Arabidopsis thaliana: one gene and its partner. The main gene of each other region encodes a partner of the protein of the gene in region 2 in a complex. Each region holds a gene or a part of one and is shown on either strand. Other genes may lie near its edges.

Region 1 (13,940 bases), on a different chromosome or scaffold from region 2:
AATAACGCCTATCTTACATATCCTTTCGACTTATTTTGAATTGATTATTAAAACTATACCTGAAACACCACTAAAGCCTATCCTTTGGTCTTATTTTAATATATATACTAAAAATTTATTTTGAAACACCACTAACGTATTGACAAAATATGTCGGACCTCATTGATTCATATCTTTTCAACACACATCACTAAGAAATGTACATAACTACAAATTGTCTTGTTTATGCCCAAACGGATTAGATGTTACTGGGAAAGTATGTCCTAAAATCTTAAGAACTGGGAAATCATTCACTGAGATGCGTTGGTTCAAAAATAACACGACAATTGTTATTTTCCCACTAATTGAAATTGACAAAATTATCTCATCTTGGCATTTTTTTTTTATTTTTTTTTGGAAGTAAAAGGTTGGTATCGATGCTTATTGTTATATCTATACATCTAATAGGTTTTCCGGAAATTATTATCTGTAAAAAAGATACTATTAGTTTAGAAAATTCAATATAATACAACTCTAGCAAGTCACATTTTAGCTTTTCTCTACATCCGGAGTCCTCCTTAGCTAGCTATAGATGGGCACTACGTACATTTTGATACTATTTACTAGTTAATTGATAATTGTAGTGATAACTGATCAATCTGACGTTTTCTGGCAGCAATTCATGCATGTTGTTATTTGATCATTCTCAGGAAAAAGAATATCGTATAAATTACATAAAAGATGTGGTACACATTATATTCAGATTTCTATTCTATTGGCTGGACAATAATTCACCATGAATGATTTGTAATATAGATGAGCTCGAAGTAATTTAAAATACATCAAAAGAGGTCAAAAGACATTTTCCAATGTTAAGAGATATGAGGAAACATGAAGATTGCTGGCATATTTTGAAGATCGAGGGAAATGTCGTAGATGTGATTTAGGGTAATATACATACAGATAATGCCACATAACAAGCCAAACATAACAAGCCAAACATCGCCAACCCATGCATGCACGCAGCTTCTCTATAGCTTTCTTTGATTTTTTTTATTTTATTTATCACAAATGAGATATTTCGATCTAATATAGAAATACAAATTAAGGGTTGTCGGGATTAGAAAGGAACAACTGAACAAGTAACGAAGAAGGATGAAGTGTAAAGATTTGATTGGAGGCATGCAGAGATATCATGTTCTTCGCCGTCTCTACGGAAATATACTATATACGTCACCTCGAAAACATATATTGATCGATCATCGATGATCACATATTCATATGATAGAATTGTATTTATTTTGTTTGTAGACGATATGATATATAATCACGTAGACAAAATTGAGGAGGGAGCCCAACGATGCAGGAACACTCTCGAAACTGGTCTGATGATAAACGGTGCTGCCTTGTCTCTTTACATTTTCATCAGTTAAAGGGTAACATATATAGTATTTTATATAGCACGCAGTGAAATTTTTGGTCAACGATAGGATGATGTTTCAATCCCTATCATTTACAAAATATACAAATACTTTCAAAATGATTGCAACGTATTGGAGATACAAAGACCAAGGTGATTCTTTGCTGGTTTTTTTCTTCTAAGACAGTAAAGAAATTATGAACACTAAGTCTGAAGCCAAAAAACCGAAGAAAATCATATAATCCTTTTCTTTTTTCGTAGAGGTTTACAAGTTTGGAATATAGAAACATAAGAATATGTTAAATGACTGGCAAATAATAATAATGATACAATAAACAACAACACACAAGAAAAGGCACACATCTTTTGACACTAAATTAAAAAAAGTGGGTTTAATTAAGCAGATCCAAACTCAGAGAGCCACTTCTCGTGTTTCTCGATATCAGAGGAAGACACACTCGGTTGCACTTTCCTAATGGCCTCTTCGAAATCACACATTGCCACTGGATCATTTGATATATCGTCTTTCGACATGTTCTTTATCTCATCTCTCGTTTTCCCCGCTATCTTACGCCGCATCCCGTTCATTGATGCGTCCCTGCACACGTTAGTCAGATCGTCTCCACTGTACCCTTCCGTTCTCCGGGCCACATCTTCAATGTTAACATCACTCGCCACCTGAAAAGTGACAATGTTCATTGCTAAATTGATTGCGTTGGACCAGTAGAGAGATTTGCGAGTGTTGTAACAATGTATCCACAACTAACCTCAACTGTTCTCAGATTGATATTGATAAGAGCCTTACGACTTTCAAAATCTGGAAGTGGGATATATATACGTTTTTCCAACCTCCTCCTGCACCAACGTGAGCTCCAGAATCAGCAATTTCATTATATTAGAGCAAGTCTAAAGACGGCATTAACTCAAAGAATATTTAAACCTGAGAGCTTCATCTATGTCCCACGGGAAGTTGGTAGCTGCCAATACCATTACTATTTTGCGACTACCATCTTCATTTGTCGCTGTATTGCTCACTCCATCTACTTGAACTAGGAGTTCCGATTTCACCCTTCTTGATGATTCATGCTCTCCAGAACCCCTGCATCACACCTCCACCAATTACAAATACTTTTCATTTCAGTATCGAAATCTCAGTATCGTCAGGAAAATTTACCCCCGAGAATTGCAGAGAGAGTCGATCTCATCAATAAAAATTGTGCTTGGAGCATATGCCCTAGCCAGATCAAACAGGCATCTGACCATGCGCTCACTCTCTCCACGCCATTTTGAAGCTAATGTAGCAGAAGATACATTGAAGAAGGTGGTACCACACTCAGTTGCAACAGCTTTTGCCAACAGGGTTTTACCTGTCCCAGGAGGACCAAACATGAGAACTCCTTTCCATGGTCTTCGAATACCCTGAAGGGAAACAAAAACAATCAAATTAAGTATCCTCTATACCTGGAAGATCAAATATAAAGTCTACGGAAATGATGAATTGAAACTGTTATTCTGTATGATTGCTCCATGTCTAATAATAGTAATATAGAATCCAAATTTCACAGCGTATGGAGCAGAATCAAAGTACCTGAAAGTATTCGGGCATCCATAAAGGAAGGACAACTGCCTCCTCAAGCAGCCTTTTGGCTTCAGACAAACCTGCAACATCATCCCAACGGACACCAGGAGTTGAGTCCAACACATCCCTTTCAAGCATAGCAGCCAGGTCCTCATCAGGTCCCTCATACAATCCCCTTTTTGACTTCCCATCTTCAGCATCACCATTCTGATATCAACGAGGAAGCCGAAAGTTTTATTAGTTGTTGAAAATAGGTGGAAACTACCGACTCAACATAACCACAGGAAACATGGCCATGACTCTAAAGTTTCTAAATACAGATTTCAGAATTAGACATTCATAAACGTAACAGAAATCATGATCTTTGATACATCAGTCCTACTATAACATAACAACTTCGAAGTTTCATGACATCCTGTCTATCACCAAAGTAAAGTAATGGAAATGGAAATGCCATAGTCAATATTGATTGATGGAAAATTTTCAAGTTTAACCTTCTCTATTGTGCAATACCAAAAGGCAAAAACATATAACTTACCATAGACTCAGCCTTGTTAGATTTTGAGGCAGCTCCCTTCTTTCCGGCAGTGGAAGAGCGGGCACCTGCAGTTGACTTACTAGTAGCCCCACCTCTGCCACCACGGGAAGCTGGACCGGTCCGTGTAGTAGGGCCACGAGCCCAAGCCCCATCTTGAGGTGATTTTCTAGTACCAGTTTGACCAGCCCTGGCGGGTCTTCGACTAGTAACATCACGGGTAGGAGGCCTCCACACATCAGGATCATCCATAGGACCACCACCGGATGAAGTTGGATACTCATCCAAGGGCTGAAAAACAAAGGATGATTTGGTATTGATAGGTGGAGAAGCAGCGCGACGCCCAGTGGGAGCTTCTTTAAATGCTCTCCTCTCTGCATCCAATTGCTTCACAACTTCCGTCTCTTCCATTATGGCCTTTTTAACGTTCATCCATTTGGTCCGGGCCAAAGGATCGTCAAGGGTGTTTAAATGCCTAAAACAGTATACCATAGCTTCAGAACCACTAACGCAGCACATAAGAGTGTTCTATCTCTGTCTACACAGACATTGCACGGTGAACATTGCAAAATTCTAGATTTTTCTAAGCCCATTTCAATACAATCCAACACGAAACTATTAAAGTAGCTTAGGGCTTGAAGAAATTGCCAAAAGGGGTGACAAAAAAGCTAGATTCAAGACTGGAGAGATAAGAGGAGCTACTTACTTGTTGATCTGAGCAATGGCGCCATCGAAGAAGATGACAGATGTGTCATAGGATCCTTCTAGTGCATATTCTCTCGCTAATTTCAAGTGGTCTTGTAGACCCGCTAACGAATTACTACTTCCCACCATTTCCTCTTTTACTAAAAAAATAGCCTATTCCAAAACAAAATCAAGGGTTCCGAGGCAAGAGCTTCGATCTCGGAGAACCCAAATTCTCCTTCTTTCTCCCTCTCCGGCTCCGGATTTCGGAGATGTGACTCGTCGGCGAAGATGGAAGACAAAGTAGAAGAAGATGGAAGCCACGTCGATGGTAGTTATGATCCAACCTCTCTTTCTTTATTCGGGTTCGATTCAAATATTTTAGATTCGGGCCCATCTACGGCCCACTTTCAAACCAATAAAGCCTAAAATCATCATCGATTTTAACTTTATTTATCCTCTGGGTTCAGAAATTAAAATTTCAAATAAAAGGCCAGATTATCAATTTCTCACAAGTCATAACGTCAATCATAAGACTCGAATTTAAATTTTTGAATTTAGAGAAAGACTCATAACGAATAAAGCTGATCCAGTTTTTGCTTTTGCATTCATTGCTGGATTATTCATTTGAATAAGTAAAGAGTATATACATACACCAAAGGGGTTAAGGATTCAACCATTGGTAACAACATCCCAAATACAATGACTTTGTAAAGAAGAATCAGCTATATTGATTATTGAATAAACAAACACTCTTTTATTTCTTTTTAAAACAACTATATAGCTTCAACCAAACGCAAAGTAACCATCTTTTGACCCTTCTTTAAACAACGTCTCACTCCACCATTCCATGGTGAAGCAGCTCCTCTATTCCTTTCCTCAGCCTCGCCGCTGCAGCTCTCATTTCAACCTCCTGCAACCCTCCAAAGGAAACCCGGAGATACCCGGGGCTACCACTTGCACACCCCGGGATCACCACCACACCATGGCGGTGAGCCAGCCACCGCACCACCTTGAAATCATCTCTGTGTCCCTCTGGCAGTTTTGCCCACAGGTATATCGCTCCTTCTCCTCCCTTAACGTTCTCCTTCCCCAGCGGCTCAAGCGCCTCTTTCACAATATCCCTGTTCTTCACTAGACTCTTTACCCGTTCCGTTATCCACCCAGAACCTTCCTCTAATGCGTATACAGCCAGTCGCTGCGAGATTATGGCAGCACAGATTGGGATGTTGTCCTGAATTTTCACAAGCTCTGTTGCAAACCCATCTAATCTCTCTGAGTAAGCTATCTGCAGGTCCATCAAACCTTTTTATAAGACAATCCCAGTGTTTAGTTTGGAATAGAATTGAATCGAGCACTCACATATCCAAGCCTCCAACCCATCATGCCATAGGTTTTAGAGAAAGAGAAGACATTAACAATGTGGTCTCCCTCAACGCAACAATGTTTTAAACCGTCATACATGAAATACCTGCGATTTTCAAATCCCCGCTTATTACTACATTCAATTTGGACATCATAGGAATTAAGGAAATGAGAAACTCACTCGTATGTGTTATCTACAATCAGCCAGCACCCTGCATCTTTGCATATTTGAGCAATCCTCTTAAGCAGCGGTTCAGGGACATAGGTGCCACTTGGGTTACCAGGATTCACAACAGTTACAACTTTCGGAGTCGGTTTAGACTCAGACAGTGTCCTCTCTAACCAGTCTGGAACAAAAATGATTCACTGGTCACAACTAAAGCTATGTTAAGTCATGAAAAACGTGATACAGAATCAAGGAGGTACCAGCGTCAGGATAGAGAGTGTCTGACTGGCCAGGACCAACAATTATGTTGGTGACTCCTGTCATCTGAAAGGCCATGTAGGAGTTGAAGTAGTATGGCTCAAACATGACAACCGAATCACCAGCATCACATAATGTAATAACAAGGTTCACAAACGCCTACATTAGATGCAAAAACAGAAACAGAGTATGAGAGTAGAAGAAAACAGAAGGAAGAGCAATCAAAAGAGTAAACAAAGACAGGTTATACCTGATTGGCACCTGCAGTAACCATCACTTGTGAATTGGTTAGCTTGTTTTCTTCACGCAGCTTCAGAACAAGACAAGGAATCAAAAATAAAACAAGCTCAGTCACGGAATTGGATTCAAGAGCAGCAAAAGTGGTCACTTTATTGGATACAAGAAAGGTTGCCAGAGCTAGCTAGAAGAATGGTTCAGTACGGTGCGATTACCTTTTTGAGAAGAGCCTGTCTCAACTCGGGAAGACCTTCATCGGGGCCATAAGAACTAATGATAGGATCCCAGACAAGCTCCTTGACCTTCTCTAAGGCCTTTTGAGGAGGCTGCCAATGCACCACTCCCTGAAAAGCACATGAGCAAAAGAATCAGCCTGCAGACAAAACAAAACTCCAGACAAAGTATAGCCAAAGAAGGTGACCACTCACGAAAGCCCAAGTCTTTTGTGAACTAAACTAGATTAGATTATAAATAAAACACACATTTCTAGAGAGGGCAAAACCTGGGCGAGAGACATGGGGTTCGTCAATTCCGCCATCAAACTCCGAATCTGCACGCAAAACCCCAACAATTTCTCACTTTAAAGAAAAAAAGACAAGAGACCAATCAAATCAAATCAAATGAAAATGGAAGTGGAGAAGTACGAGGTTTGACCTGAGCCATGACGGGCATATCAGTGCCCAACGTTCTCCTCGAAAGCATCCCAAACGAACCCATTTCAAATCAATTCGATCGAGACCTGAACCTGATGGAGAAATTTTCCAATTAGGATCGAATTGTTTGATTATATATACACACTGGCTAGTATGCAAGAAATTCAGAATTAATTCTCAACCTAATGCAAAAGGGATCGTTGACAAAAACCTAAAACAGAGATGAGCGTTGCTTAAGCACGCCTGTTCTTTGTCCTCTTCTTCTTCTTCACCTACCCTTGTTTTTTACTTCATGTTTTTTTATTTTTGGTGTAATCATAATCTAATCTATTTAAGAGAAAATAAATAAAAAGTAGTTTCTTTACTTTACGCCAATTTGAAAAGAACAAAAAAAGAGTAACGCCTTTCCTTTGTTACTTAGATCCAAAAATTATTATCAACCAGCTTTAAAAATCCATTACTACTCTACAGATTCTGATAGAAAAAGAGAGAGAGAGAGGTCAAAACTTTACCAGAACTAAGAGAGAGACGTTTCTCGTGTGTGTTCCTTGCAGTGTCTGATTCCTCTTCCTCTGCCACATGTTACTGATCAACCAGAGGATTTGCTTTGCCTTTGCCCTGAGAAAAAGAATCAAACGTCACGTTTCAAACGTAGAATTATTTTTCTTGATTGCGTTTATCATTTCCCTAATAAATCACATAAAAGGCCCTTCATGTTTCTATATATTTGGTAATCGAACCCTTTGTTTTTCTTCAGCCCTTTTCATCGTTCAATTCATTTTTCATCCGAATGGCACAAACATATATTCCACGAGACATTTTTGTTGTTGTTACAAAAGAAGCATTGTTGTTACAAAAGAAGCAAATTCATGGATCACATTACTCAAACATGCCATGCAAATTATTTGGAGTTTGGTGGTTACATGTTTAGATAGATTGGGTATTGTGGTAAACTAAAGGAGTGGAGGGAAAGTTGGGAGTGTTCAAAAACTTGAAAAAAATAGACCAACCAAACATGACATGTTGATTATAGATCTGTTTTTAAAATTTAATTTTCATCTTTATGCGTGTTGGTTTGAATCGTAGATCTAGTAGCTTTTTGGTCTTTGGATAAAACCGTAAAACGTTATTATTATTAGGTCCACGAAGACCTCTCGTTACGTCCTTCTCACACTATAACAGCTTTAACGCATTAGTCCAATACATATACAATAGAACATACTGTATATATCCTAAATTTGAAATCCATGAGCTTTGATTATGTAACTTCCCATGTGGTAAGTGAGACTATTGGTTATAGCTCCTCACTGTAGCTTTTGAATTACTCGTGCGTTGTATATAAATAATTATCCCAAGGATACTTTTGTTTGTTTGTGATGCTTTCTTCGATTATATCACTTAACATCAAAGTTTCATATGAAAGTTTTGACTTAATCAGTAGACTTTACTGCCCTTTCACGTACTACCGAACAAAATAGACTCAACTTTAACTTTAAAAGATTTGTCATTTTCATTTCAAATCTGATAGTTTTTCGAACTTCTTCTTTTTGTTTTTGTTAAAACTCGTAATTGAATTGCTTCAAACGCGAAACAACAGCAAAAATAAATAATTAAGTTTGAAAACAAAGATAATTCTGAATAAGAAAATATATCAAACAAAAAAATATTAAAAAAATAAAATAACTTCTGCTATATTTTGATAAAACGGCTATAGGTAAGATGTGAAATAATGTATAACATACAAGATTACCAAGGTCTTAAACATAACAAGACCTGAAATGGCAGATTCCACCACTTAATTATTTGTTCATGTCCTAAGTATCTTTTCTTTTTCTAAGTGGATCCTGCGGATCTAAGCATCAAAAGTAATTATTATCATATTTTCTTTTTGTTTTAAATTAAGTTTTTTTTAATTCTAAACTGATTATGTCAAGTACAATGAGATCTAATACAGTTTTCATAACTCCTAGTATTATTTAAAAAGAGTGTTGTATATAACGTTTAATCGCAGAAAAAACTCTCCAAGTTTTATTTCACGTAGATTTGGTCAAAGTAACCGATGAGAAAATTAGACATAAGTTTTGTTTTACACGAAATAAAGAAAGTGTTAGTATCACATAATGCATGTTATCTTTTTACTCAATAGTATACAAAGACCACGGGAGCGTCGTAAGTATGATTTTAAAACGGAGCAAATCCTATAGAAATAGAAACGGGTTCTTTAAGTTTCTACAAAATGTTTAAAAATTTGAAAGGATAGTGTAGAATTTATGGATGGATTCTTACTTAACATGCATGTGGAGTCCAAATAAGCATTAAGGAATATTAAAAGACACATAGAAACGTAAATATAAATATCAGAAGAGTGATTCTGGGGTAAACGTGCATTTGGTCTTTTTTTTTTTTTTTTTTTTACTACTAGTTAGTTTTTCTATTCAAAAGTTAAAAACTTTACCATTAAAAAAATAAATGGTGGAATCTTTCTTCAAATCTTCAAAATTTGAACAGAGTTTTTTGTAATTTAATCATTTTTATTTACCTTTGGATGAATAGCCACGCTGTTACTGTCTTTAAAAAATGCGCTGTTACTATCTATGTAAATAAATTATGACACATTTCTTGGAAAACGTAACTATTCCTCCTCTCTATCGTTCTTTTACTTTAATACAAAAAGTAAATATAAAAAAAACATTCGAACAGAGAGAAGAAAAACAAAATCTGCATCATTAATTACATACAACAGGTTAATGGAGAAATGGAAATGACACAGAACCCAAACTAGCAATGGGTGAAAATAAGGTAAATGATTAGTTACCAAAATCTAAAGAAAAATCTATGTTCAATCACGTACCAAATTGAAAAGATTAACCACAAATTACTTATCAAAAAAAATCCCAAGCAAACTAAACTGTAGTGTTAGCTCTTTCTTTATCCCCTTGTTTTATGGTCAAACAGTCAATGAGTTGCGTTATAAGCACATAAACAAACACTTCTTTCTCTAATAAAAATAAAGTTTCTATTTTTATATACAGAAAAGAAAAGAATATAAAACTTATATCTTTAAACCATTCTATATCCCGCTCACTCTCAGAGACAGTCCCTTTGCATAAAAGCGAATTGACTATAACCCATTTACTCTCTCGATCTGCCCAAGCTCCCATCTTTTCTGTTCGTAGAGCTCATTTCCCCAAATTAATAAAGAAAAAAAAAAAGACTTTTTTTCTTCTTCTTCTTCTTGAAGAAATTTCTGGAGCGTAGTAAGTTTCTATCTTAGTCTCTCTATCTCCATCTTCTCTGTTTTATTTTGCTTGTGAAATGTGATGATATTATTTTTATGCCGACCCTCTGTTCTTTTTTTTGAGGCGGTTCTCCTGGAGGGTTTCTTGAAACTTTATCTTGGTTTTGAAGCTTTTTTGGTTCATGGGTCACTCGGATTTTTCTTGGATTAAAGAAAATGTGACTTTGATTACTTTTTTTTTTAACGAACGGATCGATAGGTTTTTTTGGGAGATCTTGCAGCTTTAAATCATGGGTCTTTTCGTTATCCTCAGAAGAAATTTGATCTAGTCGTTCCTTTTCTTGTTCCTATTTCTTATGGATAAACATTTTTATATAAAAACCCATGAAAGAAATTTAGAAACTTTACTAATTTTTTCTTCAAATTTAATTATCTCCAAATTCTGCGCAAGTCGCTCCCGTCTTTGCTAAAATTGCTAAGACTTTTTCTTTCGAGCGTTGAGGGTTTTCTGCATTACAGTTTTCAAGTTTTTGTCAACAAGTAAATTGTAATTCACAAAGACTTGTTCTTTCAACTTGAATCTGACTTGAAACTTTGGAACTTGATTCGACGAACTTAAACAACAAGTACGTGTTGCAATTATTTGTCTAGTCATGAATGATCAGATAAACAATCCTCGTTTAGAATAAACAATTTCTCCAAACATCTTATATGCATTGGACTCTGCATAGATAAATATATATCTCTCTGTTTTGTTTAATCTTCATGCCATTGATCTTCGATTTCTCTTGACTTCAAATTCACAGATCGAGAGTTAATGTGGTGCTAAGTCCCAAACGTTAGAAAAGGGTTGGATCGTGTCAAAGGGTTTCAATCATGGGGAAGGAGAATGCTGTTTCTGGAAACTCTATACCAATCCATGGTCGCCCTGTAACTCGTGCTCTTGCCTCTGCTCTGCGTGCTTCTTCTAAGCTGATAACATCTTCTGAAGTGGCTGCTACAACACAGAACCAGGGACGGGTTCTTAGAGCAAAGAGTAAAAGAACAGCCTTGGATGAGAAGAAAGCCAATGCACCTAAGAAGCGAGCTGTTCTTAAGGATATCACTAATGTTACCTGCGAGAATTCTTACACAAGTTGCTTCAGTGTTGCGGTTGTTAACTACACAATGCAGCATTTTAGAATTGCTAAGTTTATATGACAAGAAGTATGTTTTTGCTGACAATTGTTGCTTCTTCTTTTTACTTAGGTGGAGAATATCAAGCAGATAAAGAAGGGACGACAGAGTTCTTCTTCTTCCAAGGTGGCATCTTCTTCGGCTACTTCACAAGTTACAGATGCAAAGGTAGAAGTTGTGTCAAATTCAGCAGGAGCAAGCTTGTCTGTTTTTACAGATACAAGCTTAGGCACAAACGAAACATCCTATAGCATTATCGCAAAGCCAAGCTCCAGATCGCCTCCAAGACCCTTTGGGACAGGTGAATTTTATAAATGGTCATTTACTGAAGCTTGAGTGGGCAATGTATAACATTTCTGATGCATCTTTATTCTTGCAAATGGTTTACAGTTGAGAGAAGTTGTGGTGGAGCAAGTAGCCCGAAATTCGTTGACATTGATTCAGATGACAAAGATCCTCTACTCTGTAGCCTTTATGCACCTGACATCTACTACAACCTGCGTGTTGCTGAGGTATTTATCCCTTGGATTTTGATATCTTACGATGATGCATTTGAGGCATTTGAATCCTTACGACTTGTCTACTTATCAGCTTAAACGAAGACCATTTCCTGATTTTATGGAGAAAACACAAAGAGATGTGACTGAGACAATGCGGGGAATTCTTGTTGATTGGCTTGTAGAGGTTAGTTCTCTACTTCCAGTTTGTTTGTTGCTTACTTATGAAGTCTTTTTGTGTAGCTTCTCACAACTCAAAATTTCAGGTCTCAGAGGAATACACACTTGTACCTGACACTCTTTACCTCACAGTGTATCTCATAGACTGGTTTCTCCATGGAAACTATGTGGAAAGACAGAGACTTCAATTGCTTGGCATCACTTGTATGCTCATTGCTTCGTAAGTTCCTCATCCACCTAAAATCAAATAATGCTCTGGTCTGAACACAACATCTAAAAGAGTTCTTGCAGGAAGTATGAGGAAATCCATGCGCCACGCATTGAGGAGTTCTGCTTCATCACGGATAACACTTATACAAGAGATCAGGTCCTGGAAATGGAGAGCCAAGTACTCAAGCATTTTAGCTTTCAAATTTACACCCCCACTTCAAAAACATTCCTCAGGTAATCTTACCAGACAGTGCAAATGCTTTATCATGTGTTGTTGCTTTTTAGTCTTTGGTGATTCAGAGTATTCATTCATTTTTGCAGGAGATTTCTTCGAGCAGCTCAAGTTTCTTTCCCGGTAATGTGCTTTTCTTTTATCAGATCAGATATATCTATTGCTCATAAAACATGTAGCAGAAAGATTGAAACTTTGTTGGTAATTTGTCTGCAGAATCAAAGTCTGGAAATGGAGTTTCTGGCGAATTACCTAACGGAATTGACGTTAATGGACTACCCTTTCTTGAAGTTCCTTCCTTCGATCATCGCTGCTTCGGCTGTTTTTCTTGCCAAGTGGACATTAAACCAATCAAGCCACCCTTGGGTCTGTAATTGACCAACTATCTTCTTCATTAAGAAACACAGCGAATCTTGAATCTCACTCTTGTTTACTTTATTTTATGAACAGAATCCAACTCTTGAGCATTACACAACGTACAAAGCCTCCGATCTCAAAGCATCTGTCCACGCCTTGCAAGATTTACAGCTTAACACCAAAGGATGTTCCTTAAACTCTATACGCATGAAGTATAGACAGGACAAGGTATTAAAAAATTATTAATCTTAGTTTGGTTTTCTTAAACCGAATGAAGAAATCTGGTCTGTTTCGGTTTAACAGTTTTTTTTTTTTTTTTTGGCAATTTACAGTTCAAATCCGTGGCGGTATTCAGTTCTGGAGAGCTACCGGACAAGCTATTCATCTCCTAACCGATATGACACACGAATCTGTAGTAACATTTTTCTGATGGTCCACATTCATCTGTCTGTCAAATAAAACAGTGTCTTCCCACGGTCTCTCATCATTACCAAGTAACCGGATTCGGTGTTAGTTCGGTTTAGTTGTAGACAGGTTTGGTTCTTTCAAACCGGACTTGTTCTTGTCGGTAACACGAGTTAATTGTAGTGGAATGTACATTTTTCCCCCGGTTTATTCAAGGCAATATCTGGTCTGCTTCGAATATTTTATCTTTTTATTACAGTTGACAGAGAGACAAAGCATTAATTACACATTATCCAACGGAGAAATTGTGACTCACATAGTATGTGGCAAGAATTGCTTTTTCGTTTTACGAAAAACCAATAATAAAAAATTATCAAGTTGGTCTTCTTCTTCCTCGTTGCTGATGTGTCGCTCTGCTTGAGAGAGTCAGAGAGTCAAGAGAGAAAAGGGGTCGAGAATGGCGGTCGCAATATCTGGGAGTAGTTTGATATCGTCGACTCTTCAGCATTATAATAATCGGATTTATATCCGAGATTATCCGATTCCGTGTCACTCTTCTAATCCAATTTGCAATTCTTTTAATTTCAAAAGACGTTCGTTCTCTCCTTCTTCCCCCAAATTTAACGACCATGTCGTTAACCCTTCCTCTTCTTATTTATCCTCCAAGCTTTCTCCAATTCGAACCCATTCCTCTTTCGCTGGTAAACGCCTCCAAATATAATCTCTTTTCTTTTCCTCGCTTCCTTCTAATTTTTGAGGTTTGCTTTTC
Region 2 (16,794 bases):
AACTCTATCTTCTTCTTCTTTGTTTTTTGGTGTTTTGTGTTGTTTGTCTTACTTATACTAACTTTCACTCTCTCCAATATGATAATCATTGGGAGATTATGGAATAACTTTCTTACCTCCAGCAGAATATAAATAAATTTAACACAATTTAATACTATCTTTTTTTGTTTTTTGTTCAACGCATACAATTTAAAATCATAAACACATCTCTCCATCAAAGAAGTAAAACGATAGTTTGATATATCTCATACACTTAAACATTAGCCTAAGAGAAGATGATGATTAACTTAAACAAAAGTTGTTAAATAGTAACCTAATACATAGAAGAATAACAACAACCCAAGAAAGATACATATTTCACAAAGTTGATAAAAGAAACCAACAAGAGGACATGCATAAATATAGAATGTTGTTCTTTTTTTTCTGTTAAAGAGAGTCGAAGTTAAGAGAATAGCTGAGAGGATCGTAGTTGAAACTGACGTGTCTCTTATTCTTCTTGTGTATTGGTGATGATCTCATGTTCTTCTTCATCTTCTTAATCTCGGCTTTGATTCTCCATAAAATGCTCTTTATCAGCTTCTTCTTCTTCTTCCCTAGCTCCATTACCATTATGCATCCCATTGCTTTTTTGGTCGAAAGTTAGAATTGAGAGAGATAGAGAGCAAAGGACTAGAGAGTGAATAAAGTCAAAATGTGGTTATGCAATAAAACTAAGGAGAAGGAAGAAGACTACTTATAAAAAGAAAGCAGTATCTCTGTCTTTGTTGTTAGAGCTGTACCAAGAGGAGAAGTGATGTTGACCTCTCACTTTTATATTTTTTTATATCAGTTATGATTATCCATATACACGTGTATAGCTTTTATCTATAATCTTCTAGTTGTTGGATTTTTAACCGTCCAATAAGTTACTAATCCACAAAACAGCGATTAAAACAAGCAACATAGAAGAAGCCATTGGAAAAATTGAGACGCATGCGGCGATTTGAATAGTTACTAATCCACCAAGTACTATTTGCTTCTTTTTTTTCAACCAAAATTTTCTTTCGGTTTCAAGAGTTTTAAGATTTACAGAATCAATGTAATTGTTGAACAACTATCTCATATCTCTTACATTAGATTAAGGGAACAAACCCACTAAGAGGGTGTATTCAAAATCACGAAGAATAGAACTCATGTGGTTAAACACATCTTTTCTTATAGAAAAATTTCGCATTTTGAAATGGTAAAGTTGGTAAAGTTGGAAGTAGACCACCAAACAATAAACTCTTTATGAAATTTATCCACTACAACTATATGAACCATTATCAAATATGCTCGCGGAGACGACCATGATTAAATTTCATCCCTAACAATCTTATACAATATACTAACAAGGCTACATATACACAAATTAAAAGATAGTTTGATAAGGGACTAACACTAGTTGATAAAAACATACGAGTATTCAACAATAATGCGATAAAAAAAAAAAAAAAAAAATGGAGGAGAGAATCTAAAACTACAAAAAGAGACAAACGAAAATGAACAGTTTGGTCTCGAGAAAAAAGGGAGGGTACGTAGAAGGTGAAGAAGAGTAAGTTTGTACAGCAGAAGCTTGTTTGGTCGTGGTCTCTTAACGTAAACGCAGAGCAGAGGCATGGGATAATGCTAGCTACTTCACTGTCAATTTTCACATCTCCCTTTTTTTATATTTTATTATTGTAGAGAAATAAAAATTATTTTGTTAGGTAGTTGATGACAATTCCGTTACATGGTTTTGGCAATTTCGTTTTCTCAAGAAAACTCTAGTCTGTTGGATTTATTGCAGTTTTTGCAGATTTTCTCTATTCTCTTTTATTACTTCTTGTGTTTTTTGTTTTATTATGTCTCTACTTTCGACAAGTTTATCTTTCTTCTTCCTCTTCTTTAAATGTGTAATGCAGTACATTTGATTTGGCCTCTATCACCTACCTCAATGGATCTTTTGTTAACAGATTGCATTAATGGTGGTTGAGTTCATTTTTCATGGTTTAAGTAATAAAAATACTTAAACAAAGGCCAAGGAAATACTATTTTGTGAAAAATGATCCAATAAACTAGGCCTGGGCAAAAAAACCGCTAACCGATTAACCGAACCGAACCGAACCGAAAAACATGGTCCGGTTTGGGTTTGGATAGCTTAAAATAACTGGCTGGATATTATATGTCTTAGATTTCGGTTTCGGTTTCGGTTAGGTTCGTAACCGATAACCAAAGGATAACCAAAGCATATATGTATGATAGATAATATATCACATATATTGTATGTATTAACACTTAACTATGTTTTTCTCTTTATTAGTTTGCAAGTTGAATTTCGTGAGTTGTGAATAAGGTGTTTTAATATTATGGAGAGTATGGACCATCTTTGTGAGTTGTGAATATTTCTTTTTTTTACGTACGTTCTATATCGGTATTGGTCAAAAATTTTGGTTGTTTTGGTTTTTAGTCGGTTATTTCGGTTTTAGTTTATTTATGGTTACCAAGTTTAATATCCAAACCGAACCGAACCGAAAGATATCCGAACCGAACCAAAATTCTTCAAATATCCAAATGGTTCTTATATTACTATAACCGAAATAACCGAAACCATGCGCAACCGAAGCGAAACCGAATGGTTAACCGAATGCCTACAATAAACATTGTTCATGACACCTTTTTTATTTGCTTTTCTGTGTGTTTTACGAATTTTAGTATGAAGAATTCATTTCCATTTTTGCTCTTTTTGGCTCATAATTAATAACGAAGAACATAAGATTGAACAACGACATGAAGAAATCCAAGAAACCGCGAAAAACCTCTATTCATGTTTCGAGAGAACACTGAACATGTCTCTTTCAGACGAGTAGAAACTCAAGCAGTACTCTCATAAGAACAATACACAGCCCAATGGCTCTCTCTCTTTCTCTCTGTCCCTCTCTACTACACACCAAAATTAGAACAATGCAGACAAAGATTAGTGACCAGAAGCAGCTAACTTGGGAGGATTTTTGCCTTCCAACTCTTTTGGTTAACTTAGTAAGTATCAGCCTTTAGTTTTTGTTAGACTCCCTTTGGAACCAAATCCACATCAAAAAGCAGATGGTTGGGGACTTGGGATGATGCAGGTTCTTCCACGAGGAAGACGGGCTTTTGCTCTGCGTTTTTGTCCAGGGTTGTAAGACTCATAGTTATTATGATGAAACTTCCTGAAATGCTAGGTTGAGTTCGAGCACAGACTTGGCCACCAAACCTCCTCTTCTACACAAATTCCATCACATAATCATTTGAGCCACATAGATTCTTACACAATTAATGAGAATTATGGATTCTTCAGACGTTTACCTTGCTAGAGAGGGAAGGCATGCTTTGACTTTCTCTAGCTCTACAAAGCAACGGCTGTAGCGCTCGATCCTATATTGCAGTAAACATGTGTTGTTGAGTTCCAAGAGAGTATGCTATCAAATTTATCACGCACAATGGCTTATAGATATGCACATAAGGTTAAAAACATGCAAACCTTTGCTCAGCCTCGATATCTACACCAACAGATGCTGGAGCTGACAGTGATGAGTAAATTGGTGACCCATACAGTCTGACAAGCTTCAGCAGCAAATCCAGGGAAACGCTCAAATGCCTAAATATAAGATATGGTGTAGCAAACACTGTGAGAACAAATCAAGAATTCTTAGTCTAATGTACTATATCTATGACCATAAAGATCAAGCCTATTAATGCATCCATGAGGCATGATAAGTTTAGAAAGACGACTCTGCCATTTTTTAAAAATCAGAAAAGCGAGTTCTTACTGATCCATGCCGCTCCCTAAAAGAGCTGTTAGAAGGGGAAGAAGGGAGGTACAATTATCCAGTGTCAAAATCTCATTTCTCTCGGTTATTATACCCAGTACGTCCGCAGTAACCTGTAACCAATGAATAAGAAGATTGGCGTGAGCAGATAATCTTTTTCATATATCCTGCTACTGATACAAAAAGAAGATACTTACAGCATTATCAGCCATCTTCTCTATCGAGCCTATCGAATTTTTTACATCATTCCTTTCCCAATATCTACGAACTACCTGCAAATTTGGTGAATCAATTTAGGACAGAATAAATCAGGAGTCTTTCCAATCCCTAACTCTTTGCGAAGCTTCTGACATCTCAACCACCTATAAAATCCACCAACATAAGTAAACAAGGACCAAAATTTTCAATAAGCAGAAGAGGAGAACCATGTCCAGCGTTTCACTCCCAGCTAAAACATGCCAAGTGTTGAAATAGTAATTCTACGCATGCTAAGTGGTCGTGCATAAGCATATGAAAACTCTAATAAGTATTCAAGGTACTAGTCTAATTAGGGCTAAGCCAACAAAATTGTCACAACGTGACTGGTTTCACGTTACCTGTAACTTAGCCAAACGAGACTGCATAGAGCTGACAAATTGATTGTGCTTTCCCATTATGTCTTCAACAATATTTTCTTCAGAAGGAGAATCGATCCCTTGTTCAACTGGCATATGGTTCCCTCTCTGCTTGAACTATATGAAAGGAAATACAATATCTATTATCTCTGGATCTCAGAGGAACATGAGCAAAAGCATGACTAGATGTGTAGTTGAAAATTACTAAATCACAAAATATTATGTCTATTAAGATGTTATGAAGGCAGTACCATTTGAAATTGTATAAATCAAATGCATTAATTTCCTCTTTGTCCGTAACTTTCTAACTTTCCTCTTTTGTGGCAATTTACAGTCAGTGTGTTATTGCCTCAAGATCTCAAGTTGAAAATAGTAAGGCTATTATACCATATTTGAAGGGCGGATGTTTGGAGCAGGCATATTTCCACTTGAAAAATTTGAAACAGGACCCTCGAAGTTTGAAAATCTTCCTCTCCTCTCCCTATTTATGACGAGTGACTGGAATCTTCCTGATATGATAAGACACATGAATGAGATTCGCTTCATTTGCAAAAGAAAAGATGAAAGCTGGGCTGAAGAATCACCTCCTTTCTGACTTTCAGTGGGGCTTGGGTCTCTATTTGATCTGTGGCTTACCAAGTCATCTGAAACAATGACTAAAGCTTAGAACTGAGAATATCATCTATCAAACTCAACACAGGTACGTCATAGCAACCAATAATCTTAAACACATGATTCTTTCCACTATTTGCATGTTTCACTGGAGCAACTTCATAATATTAACCCTACAGGCCACATTTTAGGGGCCAAGGTAGTGTAAGACTACCAGCTGACATTCATATTAGCACTGAAACAGGCAAATATTCAAAAGGACAAAAACATACAGTTTTCATCGTGGTTTCGTGGAGGTGACCCCATCCGTGACCTTGAATTACTCCTGCCATATCTCTTGTATCTAAAATCATTAATGCTTCGCTCAGTTGCACCCCGCATGCCAACCTTTCCACCAGGAAGTGTACCCCCATCTGGTATATTATTTGGTTCAACTGGCTGAGACTCAGACATTTCAAGAACCGAAGCGTCTGGCAGATCAGGGTTATTTCTGCTGCTAGGTGACCTTCGGGAATCAGCCGCCTGCAATGAATACGGCATGGTTCTTGCAATTATGTCAAGTTCTGCTCTGGATTCAGTAGCCTGCTCTATTCTAGGGTCTGCTCTGGGGACAATCACCGGAGCAAAATCTGCTGCCTTATTGACAGGATTCGCCTTTGGGTTAGCTTTTGTAAAATTCCTCCTTGACGTTGCAGCATTAGAGACGGCTGTTGAAACACCCGAAGTGGCTTTTGATACATTGGTCGAACTGACCCTATGAGGAGTGCCTGGTAAACTTCCTGTGGCTTCAAACAGCAGACAAAACCAGAAATGGCATATCATTTAATCAGTGCTAAGATTAAGTAAGAAGAAAAGAGAAAAATAATAGAAGCAAGCATACATGAAAACGTCCTTGACTCTTTAGAAACGTCTGAATTTTGAGAAACTGACAACCTCCCGAGAGGCTTTGATTCCTTCATCGAGGACTCTGAATTTTGTGATGTTGATGACCTTCCAATGGACTTTGTTTCTTTTGTCGAAGGATCAGAGTTCTGAGAAACAGATAATCTTCCTAGAGACTTTGTTTCCTTCAATAAAGGATCTACATTTTGGGAAACGGACAGCTTCCCGAGAACTGTCTTTGAGTTATTATCATTGAGAACTACTGGATCTCTTCCTGAGCAAGATCGTTTCTCTGGATGACCATTTGATTGCGCAGTGTCTCCAGCCATACATGGCTCAGTACGCTGACCATGCATTTGAAAATGAGTTGGTTCGTAAAGATTACTACCAGCTACAATTAAACAAAAAGAAAAAGATATGTAGGGAGAGAGGAATACCGAGAGATCTACAACCCACACGCCTACACAACTCTGATTGTATGAGCAACCAAGAAGCTTTCCCTCGTGAACATTCATATCTGACAATCTTGACCATCCAACATCCACTCCATCATGACATCTAATTGGCTCCCATGAGAAAATCTACGATTTGCACAGGATTAAACCAAAGGAGTGAGGTAAGAAGAGTAGGAATGTGTATTTTGAAAGCAAATGAGTAAACATAAGAACGAATCCTTCAAAAGATGAGTTGTTCAATTAACATATATCTAATTTAAGAATCTACATACTGCATATCAAAGTATAGAAGAATTTACCTTGAGACTTTCTTGCAATCCACAAAGCACAGTCTTTCCATCTGGATTGAAACTCAGGCAACGGACCCCGGCAGTCTAGCGAAAATGAGAATATTAAAGGTAGAGGGAAAATAAAATGTCACCAATTTGACTTAGCGTAAAACAAGTTGTACCTCAGGTCCACCAGAACCAATCAGCTCGAATGTTTCCAGATCCCAGAATTTTACAGTTCTATCAGCTGAACCTGTTAGCACAGGCAAAAACAGAATGCTTCAAATATTTGTAATCACACTAATTTTACATATTCCATGTAAATATTTAGGTGAACGTTAACAGAGAGTGAGAGAAGTAGTCATTATTAAAACGTCGGCATTCTATTGTTATCTACACAACACAGCACCATTCTGAAAATATCTATGTTACACACACCCTCAATAATATGACCAAAGAAATGAAAAATACTTTAGATGCATATTTACTTCCAGATCTCAAATCACAGAGCTAAAAAGATAAGATGGCCACAAGAGTTTCAATTACATAAAAAGAAGATGACGCCATGACACAGGGATCTATATAACTGGTTGGGCTGGGCTGGTAACCGCAATACAGTTGTGATCAGACACTCTTAGCCTAGAAGTTTTATTTTGTGTTGGTGTTAGAAATTTTTAAGAGTAATACAAACCTGTTGCCAGTAGGAATTCATGAGGATGAAAATCTAGGCTTTGAATTTGCCCTTCATGACTCTTAAACTCGGTCAGCAGTTTTCCAGCTGTTAAATCCCAAACCTGGTAAAGACAAGCTGCATATCAGATCCATTAACACACAGAAAGATAAAAAAAAAGGTTCCCGGTAAATTGCTTTTCAAGATAACAATACAGTGCGCTGAGAGAGGTAAAGAAGCAATAACCGAGAGAGATGAAGCATCCGAAATAGTTGGCCAGGGTGGTCTATGTGGGTTTTAGCAAAATGCAAAAGAATAGTACGTCCTAAATACTCTCATATAGCATACTCAGCTCAGGTGCAGAGAGGTAACACTAAATAGTCGCAAGTTCTCCTCCACACTTAAAGGGCAATGCTTACTACAGAACGTCATTCATGAGATACATACAAAGAGAATTAGAACAAAAGCTTATTCCTACCAACTCTCGAAAGCCAGTTCATAGTCTATAACCAAAAGCGCAGTTTCATTGCTCCAAATTCTCCCAAAGGTAAATCCAAACTAATTATGTCAACTAAGCAGCTGTATTTCCCTCCACAGTAGAGAAGATAAAATCACATACCCAGAACTGAAAAATGACTAGTGACATGAAAGCAGCTACCAACCTTAACAATGTTGTCCTCTCCTCCAGATACAACCCAGCGACCATCTGGGGTGAATCTGAGTACATTGACTCCTCGCGTGTGACCCTTGTAAGTATGGATGCAGCCCTTTTTTCGTATATCCCATATCTTAAGATTTGTGTCTAGTGAGCCTGACGCAAAAAACTCACCAAAAGGGTGGAAATCCACTGAGATGCAATTGGACCTGTGACCAGTGAGAGTCCTGACAACTACTCAACAAAGCAAGTGAAAGAACACGTAAGTACTCACAGAAGTCAAATCGAGTCCAATAAGAATGGTCTCTTGGAACTACAAAACTTACTCTTTGCCTCCTCTAAATCCCAAAGTTTGATAGTACCACTAGCAGCTCCTGCTGCAACTAAGACCTCCGAAGCATCAAACGTCACTGAATCAATTCCACTTGAGTGCCCATACAAGCTCTGACAACAAACAAGCACAAATGAGATACTCAGAAAGAGTGAATCCCATAGAAACACTCTACTAACTTATAACCAACACATAATGAAACAGTAGACCGAGAACTGACCAGAATGGCATTGGGCTTACCAATAGCCCAAAGATTGACCTTGTGATCTTCACCACCTGTTACCAGAACCCTAGAAGACTTCCTTCCGATCTTAAGACAATTGACAGCAGCAGAATGTGCCACAAATTCCTCTTTAAACCACACAGAAAGTCAAGGCTAAGCAATAGGTACCAGATAGAGACTCTAGTCAAAACTCAAACTTGACTTCATTCATAATAGTCTTAAATTTAAACAGACAAGTTTCTCGAAAGGTCTTAAATTAAATTACTCCACGGGGAACAAATGCAAACATGAAAAAAGATGAACACAGACAGATCTCGTGCATATCAAAATAAAAGCAGTAGATCAAACACGGCACTTGTGACACAGAACAAACCCTAAAAATAGAATCTCAGAGAAAAATACGAAAAGAATCAAAATTGGTGTAAGAAAAGGATACGAAGCTTATAGGCTCGCTTGGTGGTCATGGCGGAAACGAAACCCTTGAAGTGGAGGACATTCAAATTACACTCTCAACAACCATACCAAAACCAAAATCTCGAGAAATCGAAGAAAGCAAGCAGCCCTCAAGATCTCCGCTTTCTCAACCGCTGAACCAATCTGAAAGCTCAAACGGGAAACAGATCAAAAACCCAGAAATCATTTCTGGGAAAGATACAAAATGAAGCCTTTAGGAAATGGAAGCCGTACCCAGCAAAAAAGGGCTTAACTTTCGTCTTCCCAAAACGCCAATCTCACTCTGCTCCACGAAAACACACAAAATTTGGGGAAGTGAAGAAATGATAAAGGAGGAATTTTTTTGAGGAATACTCGGAACTTCGTTGTTGTCTTAGATAAGCGGAAAATCTAAGGAGAAGTTGAAAGTGATTTCTCTTTTCTCCAATGGCGAAGTAAAAAAGGAGACAGAGAGAGATTGACAGAGAGCAGAGCACAAGGAAGAAGAAGAAGAGAGAGAGAGAAGCAAAAAGGGAGGCGCAGAGAGAGAGAGAGATACTTTTTTAACCTTTGGCTACGTCTTCTCTCTTTTAAGTTTTCTCCCTCTTCTCTCTATTTCAAATTCCCAAAACAATTTTTTCATTTAATTCTTTGAGTTCCTCATTTTTCATGCATCTTGCTACTATTCACATTTACATTTACAAGGAAGAGTACAAATTATTAAACTTTTACCATTGGTTTCTTTTTGTCAGAAACCATCATGTTTGTATTTTGCATCTAAAATGAACAATAACAATTAATTATTCTACATAAGAGTATATTCAGTGGAAAATTAAAAAGAGTATATACATTCTGATTGTAGGAACAAAATAGTACTAGTGCATATCCAAAAATAGTTTTTAATCAATAAAAGACTTAAAAAAGGGGAGACATTGCACAACTGAAATCGCGGTTTGCAAATTAATCCTTAAGAAAATGTTTTGACCGAAATTTTATATAATGGAATTATGAAACTACTGTCGGTGCTATAATGGAAAATGGCGATGTAATCATTAATAGGTGATTATTGCTTAGATGTTAAATAAATTTATTATCATGGACCCTTGTCCAAAAGTTACAAAATTTATGTACAAGTGTTTCAGTTCTAGTATCTCTTAACATTTAAAAAACTCGTCCAAAACAAATATGCAATGATCATATAACTTATCGGTTATTTTCCAAAGTATTTTTATACAATATTAGTGATAACGTACTGTGAGGATAAATAAGTGAGCGATCCAACAGCAAAATGTAACTTTGTATCCATAATGAAAGAACAGTGACAGTCAGTAGATAGACCAACGTTGGATAGACAAAAAAATTATGGTGAAAGGTTTGGCTTGAAAGTAACGGACTACCTAATTGCATGGGGCCATGAGCGATCCCATACATTTTACAAGTACACAAACTCTAACTCCAAAAACAAAAGATTTTTTTATTTAATAAAGAGTTTTTTTTTGTGAAACCATGATTTCAATGTTGCAATGCTTCTTGAATCTTGACTTTAACCAAAAATTCATAATTATTTTGAATGGTTAATTTAATCATTTATCCGTCGTCGAATTTTTAGAATTAGGGACTTGATTTATTGGTGCAATGTTATTTAAGTAGAATTGACATTTCACATTACATTAAAATATCAGGAACACCTATTTTAAAATCATGTTTTTTATATTCTCTTGTTAAAGAAGAAATTCATTAGGTGGTAGAAATCAATTACGTAACATCAAGAAAACAACTTTATGGATAGATGTTAATTAAATAAACATTCGGTAAGATAAAGTTTTTATGTGGAAGATGATTGTAACAACTTTTAAAGACAAGATTACAGTAACTACAAAATTTTGAAATAGAAACCTAAAATTACGGACATATATAAGCGTTTTGACTTTTTAGAGTTTAAATTACTTTGTCCCTCATTACATATACTTTGGCTGCTTGCTTTTGAAAGCGCACAATGCATTAGCTAATTAAAAAGCTAAATCAATCATTGCCACCATGGTCTGGCCTGGCCTTGGCCTAGATGTGCTGTCACCAAATCTGAGTTTTGTAATCCAATTATTGTATTATTCATATGCAAGCTCGAATCTCCATCCACTCCAATTTTAATACTCCAATCTTTATAAAACGTTGAACTTTGGAAGACGTGATACATGGACGTGTTAGTACGTTAGAGTTGATCAAACAACCATAATAATATTCCTCACAAAATCTAAACATATTACTAAGATTTTTTTTTTAGTTTTCTTCTGAGAATAATGACAGACTCGTGATATCTATGATGATGAACCTGTCTACCTTAGGGCATATGTATTTGACTAAGACGACTCGCTTCTCTCTACCTAAAATATCTTGTTTTAAAGTTTATGAGAATAGGAATAGCTAAACCGATACGGGCCTAGAATCTGACCCACGAACGAAAAACGGGCCTAATCTGACCCACCAACTAAACATAAGGATGACATATTTTGGAGCACTTTCCTTTAGAGACTTTAAGCTTATATACTCTATCAACAACAAAAGCTTGAAATTCACAAGGTTTCAAAGACTAACAATCGTAGCTCAATCATCTCCTAGATCAAAATGCGATTGATGACGACTACAAATCTAGATTGCCTTCTCCTCTATCTCACTAGGACGAAATGCGACCACGAGCATAAAGATCATCACCAATACCACAGCCACGAAGCTGCTGAATTCACAAATACTAGAAAAGACAGAAGAGGAGAATGACAATAGTTTACCTTTGATTCAAAATCAAACATATTTTATAAGCTAAAGACACATGAACCAAACAGAGACAACACAGATTTGCATATAGGAAAATCATCTGAATACCTAAGGAACTGTTTCTCTAAGACTCCTCAAGTACGATCCACACTATGTAACATCTCAAGTGCTAACTCAATCTAGTAGAGAGTCTGAGCTCCACTCCCTAATCACCCTTACCATCATGACCAAGATCCACCCTTTCAATTCAAGATACTTCAATGATACTAGTCTTAAACAGCAAACATAGTAAACTAGGTGTTATCCCAAATTGGATCTTGATCTTGCTAATGGAATCATTTGAAACAACCGCAGCCTAAAATTGCCCTTATTAATCATCAAGAAACCACATCTAGATCCAACTTTTCGTTTCTTCCAATCTATCGAACACTAAGAAACCAATAACAAGATCAAGCCAATGAATCAAATCAACATAAATAGAGAGTGAAGAAACCCTTATGTATATGATTGCTAAAGGTTGAATACACATCACACTACATACAAATCATTCTCCATTCCCAGGTTCCAGTAAACACAACAAACAAAAACAAACACTGAGAAAGGAAAACAAAAATTGTCTTTCTTGTTTCATCACTGATCAATGAACTCGAACTCATCTTCCTTAAGATGTGAAACAAATTTAACAAGACCACGACCTTCAATTTCTTTGAAGAACTCAATCTTATAAGGAAGATTAGCTGAGATTCGTTTCCCTTTCCAAACAGCAACGTAATCTTTGAGTTTACCTTCCATACCTTCTAAATCAACCTCTGGAACTCGATTTACATGATAAACCTTCAACGGTGCAGTTACTCTAACCCTAGATCCTATCTTCGCCTTCGCTTCCGCTTCGATTTCTTCCTCTGATGACGGTGAGGACGAAGGATTGGCGTCTGCGTTTATCGAATCTGCGGATTTTATCGCTACATCGCATCGAATCGTGGTTCGAGAAGTTTTTCTTGAGCTTGAGTGTTTGATTTGAGATTGAGAGGTGAATAGCGAGAGAGGTGCGACGATGCAAGATTTGAGAGCCATGGGGGTGGCGGTAGCAGTAGTGGCGGAAGCGGATAGACAGTCGTGAGAGGACGGACGGCGAATGGCGGCGGCGATGGCCGGTGACAAAGCGATTTGGCTACTCATATCAGTCCGAGTGAAGAAAAAAAAATGTGTGTGAAGAAGATTTGTGCAAGTGGAATAAAACTGATTCGTTTTCTTTTTTCTTTTTTCAGTGGGAAGATATAATTAACATTTTACTATTACGACCTTAATATTTTGCTTTACAATTTTAAAAATTATAAAAATTTTGACCATTGATATATATGTTTATATATATCATTGGATATAAGTTGTATTTTATTTTATTTTTGTTAATAATAAATAATTTTGATCTAAAATACAAATAATTTTCAAAATGTATAGTTGAAGATGGTCAGTCCACCGGATAAGCCACTAAAATTAGATGTGTTATTATTTTGAGTTTTGACTGACCAAATAAAAACGAAAGATTATGGAGTGAAAATCAAATGAAAGAATGCAAATTAACCTCATGGCTCATGCACATGGTTTACTACCGGATCATTAGTGTGATAGTGTCTACTATTTCCAAACGATGGAAATTTTTTATCATTATTAGTTGGAAGAATTGATGCTAAAATATGCATTTACATTTTTTTAATATGTCAAAATCTTCATCTACAAATTTATATGGATGCAATTTAATATGATTTTTTTTCGAATGAAACAAATCAAGAAACGTGTAAATGATAAGCAGACAGAAAAAAAAACATGTGAATGAAATGGATAATAACAAAGGTTTAAACTTTAAGAAGTAAAAAGGAAAGGGAGAAGAAGACCCAGCAATATAAAGAAGTCAGACGTGTGTCCTTTTTCACGGGATGAGGAACGTGCGGCTTCTACTATATTCATCTGTGAGACTCTGATGCTTCAAAGTTCCGAGTCAGACAGAAAGAATCTCTATCAGTTAAATATCTTCGAATAAAATCTTCTTAATCCACAAATAATATCACTTTAGAAGTTCACCTAGTTAACCTAGTCCAAAAACCTCGTTACTTCAAATCATCTATTTCGTTATTGATCGACTAATCCAAACAAAGAAATGGAAACACACAAATCGTTGTAGAAAACACGTACACAGTACATATATAATTCAAAACACACAAAAAAGGGCAAAAGAATATACAAAGGGTTTTAGAGTTATAGGGAAGTTATGGCACAAAAGGATGTACTTGGTATACTCTCTCATGTTTGCTTCTCTTATCACATAGATGGTACTTACCGTAAACTTGACGCCGACAAAAAACAAAAAACAATAAAAATGAATTCCAGATATATAAACATCCAAACTCTCTCACCATCCTCACAATTTAGATGAGATTAATTAACTATGAATGTCGTCCAGGAGCGTTACCGATCAGTCTGCATTGTTCAGGTAGCATTGTCGATATCACTTCTCCATGCAATGCAAACAGTTCCCCGTCTATCCCGCAACTGTCATGCGTATTTTTCCCCGCCTTTATCTTCACTGATTTCACCTGCAATTGTCATGCATTTGATCAACTACATTCTATTCTAGACTTATAATATTTGCATTGAGTTTGACCGTTTGATTAGCATTTCCTAGCACATAGCGAGTTGCAGGTTTCGTAATGTAAGAAAATAGGAAAGATAATTTACCTTTACACACTCAACATACGGAAGAGAAAGGTGTCGACCTGTTTGCAAAAGTATAAAAAACCTCAGTAACCTCAGTCTTCCACACCCATGAACCAAGAGCATATCCATTGTACCATCATCATGTTCTGAATTGGGAGCCACGACTTGGGAACTTTGCACAGTCCGACAAGCATGGTTACAGACCATGATGCCGAGGAAATGTCCCTTTCTCGAAACCCATTTATCCTCAAATATTGGAGTGATGCTCTGTTTCCTCAGTCCTGTCTCTATATCCTCAGGAGGACCAGGCAGCTCGATCGAATTTTCTACATCCCAAGCAGACGGTTCAGTGTCCCATTTGGGTCCTGCATCCCAGATTGGACCTGGATCAGATACAGTAGATGATATATCTTCCCTGTCTTGACCACCGGTATTCCCCCATGAACATCGAGTTGGAGGATCCTGCACGGATGTTAACCCCATCCATCCTTTATCCATTCTTGACTTTGATCTTGTCCTTGGCCAATTAGGGGTTGTTGACTGTGCTTGAGGATGAATAACCTCTGGCTCAGCCGTAACATCTCTTCTTCCAGAGGACAAGCGTTTCATTTTAGGATCTATTCCACGGACATATTCAGACGGCTCAGTGCTGGCATGTGTGCTGCTACAAGTGTCTAATTCGCCTACGCTTGGGGTCATTATGGAGTCAATACTTGATAAACTGGAGGCTCTAGGAAATCCTTCTCTGCTTGATCTCCTCATTACATCCGTGTAGAGATCTTGCATATCCACAGCTTCCTTTTCAAGTCGAATTTTGCCTTCTGCATCCTCTTTTTGTGCCGGAAGATATTCCACTTCATAGCTATACTTCGGCAAACACATGAACTTGAGGAATCCAGCAACAAAGTAACGCAAAGGACCAAACCGTTTTTGGTATTTTTCAGAGAGCTCCAAAACTGCAAATAGATAATGACAAGAAAAACCATGAAATTTAGTTATAGCAGGTGAATGCCACAAACATTATACAGTATTCATGAAGGTAATTATATGTGCAATAATCCTGACGTCAAACACGAGACAGCGTCCAATAGCTCAAACTAATACATCAAACACACACCGGAGCTGTTAAAGAAATGGAGAGAGATTTACAGCCTTTTGCACAAGTTCAATGTATTTGAGTTTATCCATGATACGTTTGAATAACTAGGCGATTTTCTGCTTCTAACTCATCATCAGAAGAGTGCACATTCTGCAATATTCTATGAAATTATGTGTCTTGGGAGTCAGCATAGTGTTCACACTGTGCCAGTTAAAATATTTAGAAGATAAACTGAAAAATTACAGTAAGGAAGATTTAAAAACTCTCCTCTAAAATGCATGAAAGATCTAAACAGTTGCAGACACGGTGAATGAAACAAAGAAGCTAGGAATACAGATTCAAACCTAACTACACTTGAGAAACTGTTTATCATTAGAAAATCATACAAGACAAAGCACACAGGTATCCTCACTTACCATCGCTAACAAAACCATAGTAGGAAACAGTCATTCCAAAGTGTATAATACCGGTATGAATCCATTCAACAGCAAAGACATCAGTAGCTGTTAGGCCACCCTAAACCAAAAAAAAAAAAATCTTTCACTGAGAAAATATTAATTAAGTAGAAGCTAATTAATGTTGGCGGCTGGATAAAACAAAGCAGGGACCAATAGGATTTTAGGCGGGGTTACCTTCACAATAGAGAGTGCTGCAGAAATAGGATCTCTTACACCAAGGACAGTCCAAACTAACGAGTTATCAGAACCAGCAGGTACTATTCCAATTGGGATAGAAACTCCTTCTTTCGGATTGCTTCGAGTAAGCAGACCATTAAGAACCTGAAACATTGAAATAAGGCAGGCCTTGAGATGAGAGTTCATTCCAAGTAAATAGAATCTAGGAGATGTTAACATCGAAAGCAGTCTTTTGAATCCATCTTAGTCTACCTAAAGAGTTCTACATCAATCGAAAAATCAATAGTGAAAGTTCTCATGTGTTTCAACTCGAGCAAGTATTTCCCTATAAGATGCATCCCAAAGTCCTCGCTCTGGAGGATTAGAGTATCTAAACTCTTAAATTATTCAACATGCTTGCAAAGTGGTGTGAGCACGCTGAAATAAGCCAATAAGGTTTCATTTTAATACCAAAATTGGTTCCGAAGTACGTTCAGGCACCAGGGCTTGTAAGCAGATAAGTAACCGGGAGTATGGTATAAAAGGAACATCACTTCATGAACTTAACTCCTAACCAAAATAGGGCGAAAAAATGAGTATAGTTTAGGAAAGGTAATTATCACACCTCATTGATGATTCCATCCCCTCCAA

Evidence for each region.
Region 1: AT5G23430 (region 2) and ERH3 share a complex: the UniProt entries of both Arabidopsis thaliana proteins name them as parts of the KTN80-KTN1 complex.

What each region holds. Positions count from the first base shown.
Region 1 is NC_003070.9:30,203,704-30,217,643, forward strand, and holds ERH3 (P-loop containing nucleoside triphosphate hydrolases superfamily protein), read right to left. Parts: upstream 4,566-13,940; 5' UTR 4,348-4,565; coding exon 4,220-4,347; intron 3,989-4,219; coding exon 3,517-3,988; intron 3,186-3,516; coding exon 2,988-3,185; intron 2,819-2,987; coding exon 2,574-2,818; intron 2,499-2,573; coding exon 2,340-2,498; intron 2,255-2,339; coding exon 2,167-2,254; intron 2,078-2,166; coding exon 1,796-2,077; 3' UTR 1,611-1,795; downstream 1-1,610. Other genes in the region: AT1G80360 (Pyridoxal phosphate (PLP)-dependent transferases superfamily protein), read right to left, coding at 5,033-5,485, 5,560-5,668, 5,744-5,909, 5,989-6,145, 6,237-6,296, 6,439-6,567, 6,726-6,773, 6,878-6,940; CYCA2;4 (Cyclin A2;4), read left to right, coding at 10,991-11,266, 11,363-11,591, 11,681-11,802, 11,882-11,974, 12,054-12,187, 12,259-12,411, 12,499-12,532, 12,626-12,775 and 2 more; AT1G80380 (P-loop containing nucleoside triphosphate hydrolases superfamily protein), read left to right, coding at 13,629-13,872. UniProt on the Arabidopsis thaliana protein: Severs microtubules in vitro in an ATP-dependent manner. Required for oligomerization of functional KTN80-KTN1 complexes that catalyze microtubule severing. This activity may promote rapid reorganization of cellular microtubule arrays.
Region 2 is NC_003076.8:7,890,882-7,907,675, forward strand, and holds AT5G23430 (Transducin/WD40 repeat-like superfamily protein), read right to left. Parts: upstream 9,683-16,794; 5' UTR 9,205-9,682; exon of another isoform or gene 9,115-9,204; 5' UTR 8,982-9,114; coding exon 8,954-8,981; intron 8,646-8,953; coding exon 8,515-8,645; intron 8,408-8,514; coding exon 8,290-8,407; intron 8,198-8,289; coding exon 7,971-8,197; intron 7,433-7,970; coding exon 7,330-7,432; intron 6,892-7,329; coding exon 6,821-6,891; intron 6,744-6,820; coding exon 6,669-6,743; intron 6,496-6,668; coding exon 6,352-6,495; intron 6,259-6,351; coding exon 5,913-6,258; intron 5,818-5,912; coding exon 5,305-5,817; intron 5,065-5,304; coding exon 5,005-5,064; intron 4,930-5,004; coding exon 4,808-4,929; intron 4,538-4,807; coding exon 4,403-4,537; intron 4,079-4,402; coding exon 4,004-4,078; intron 3,920-4,003; coding exon 3,807-3,919; intron 3,635-3,806; coding exon 3,518-3,634; intron 3,412-3,517; coding exon 3,343-3,411; intron 3,259-3,342; coding exon 3,192-3,258; 3' UTR 2,713-3,191; and 1 more. Other genes in the region: FTRA1 (ferredoxin/thioredoxin reductase subunit A (variable subunit) 1), read right to left, coding at 12,349-12,897; LCBK1 (long-chain base (LCB) kinase 1), read right to left, coding at 14,160-14,309, 14,452-15,386, 15,946-16,045, 16,162-16,308, 16,382-16,426, 16,769-16,794. UniProt on the Arabidopsis thaliana protein: May participate in a complex which severs microtubules in an ATP-dependent manner. This activity may promote rapid reorganization of cellular microtubule arrays.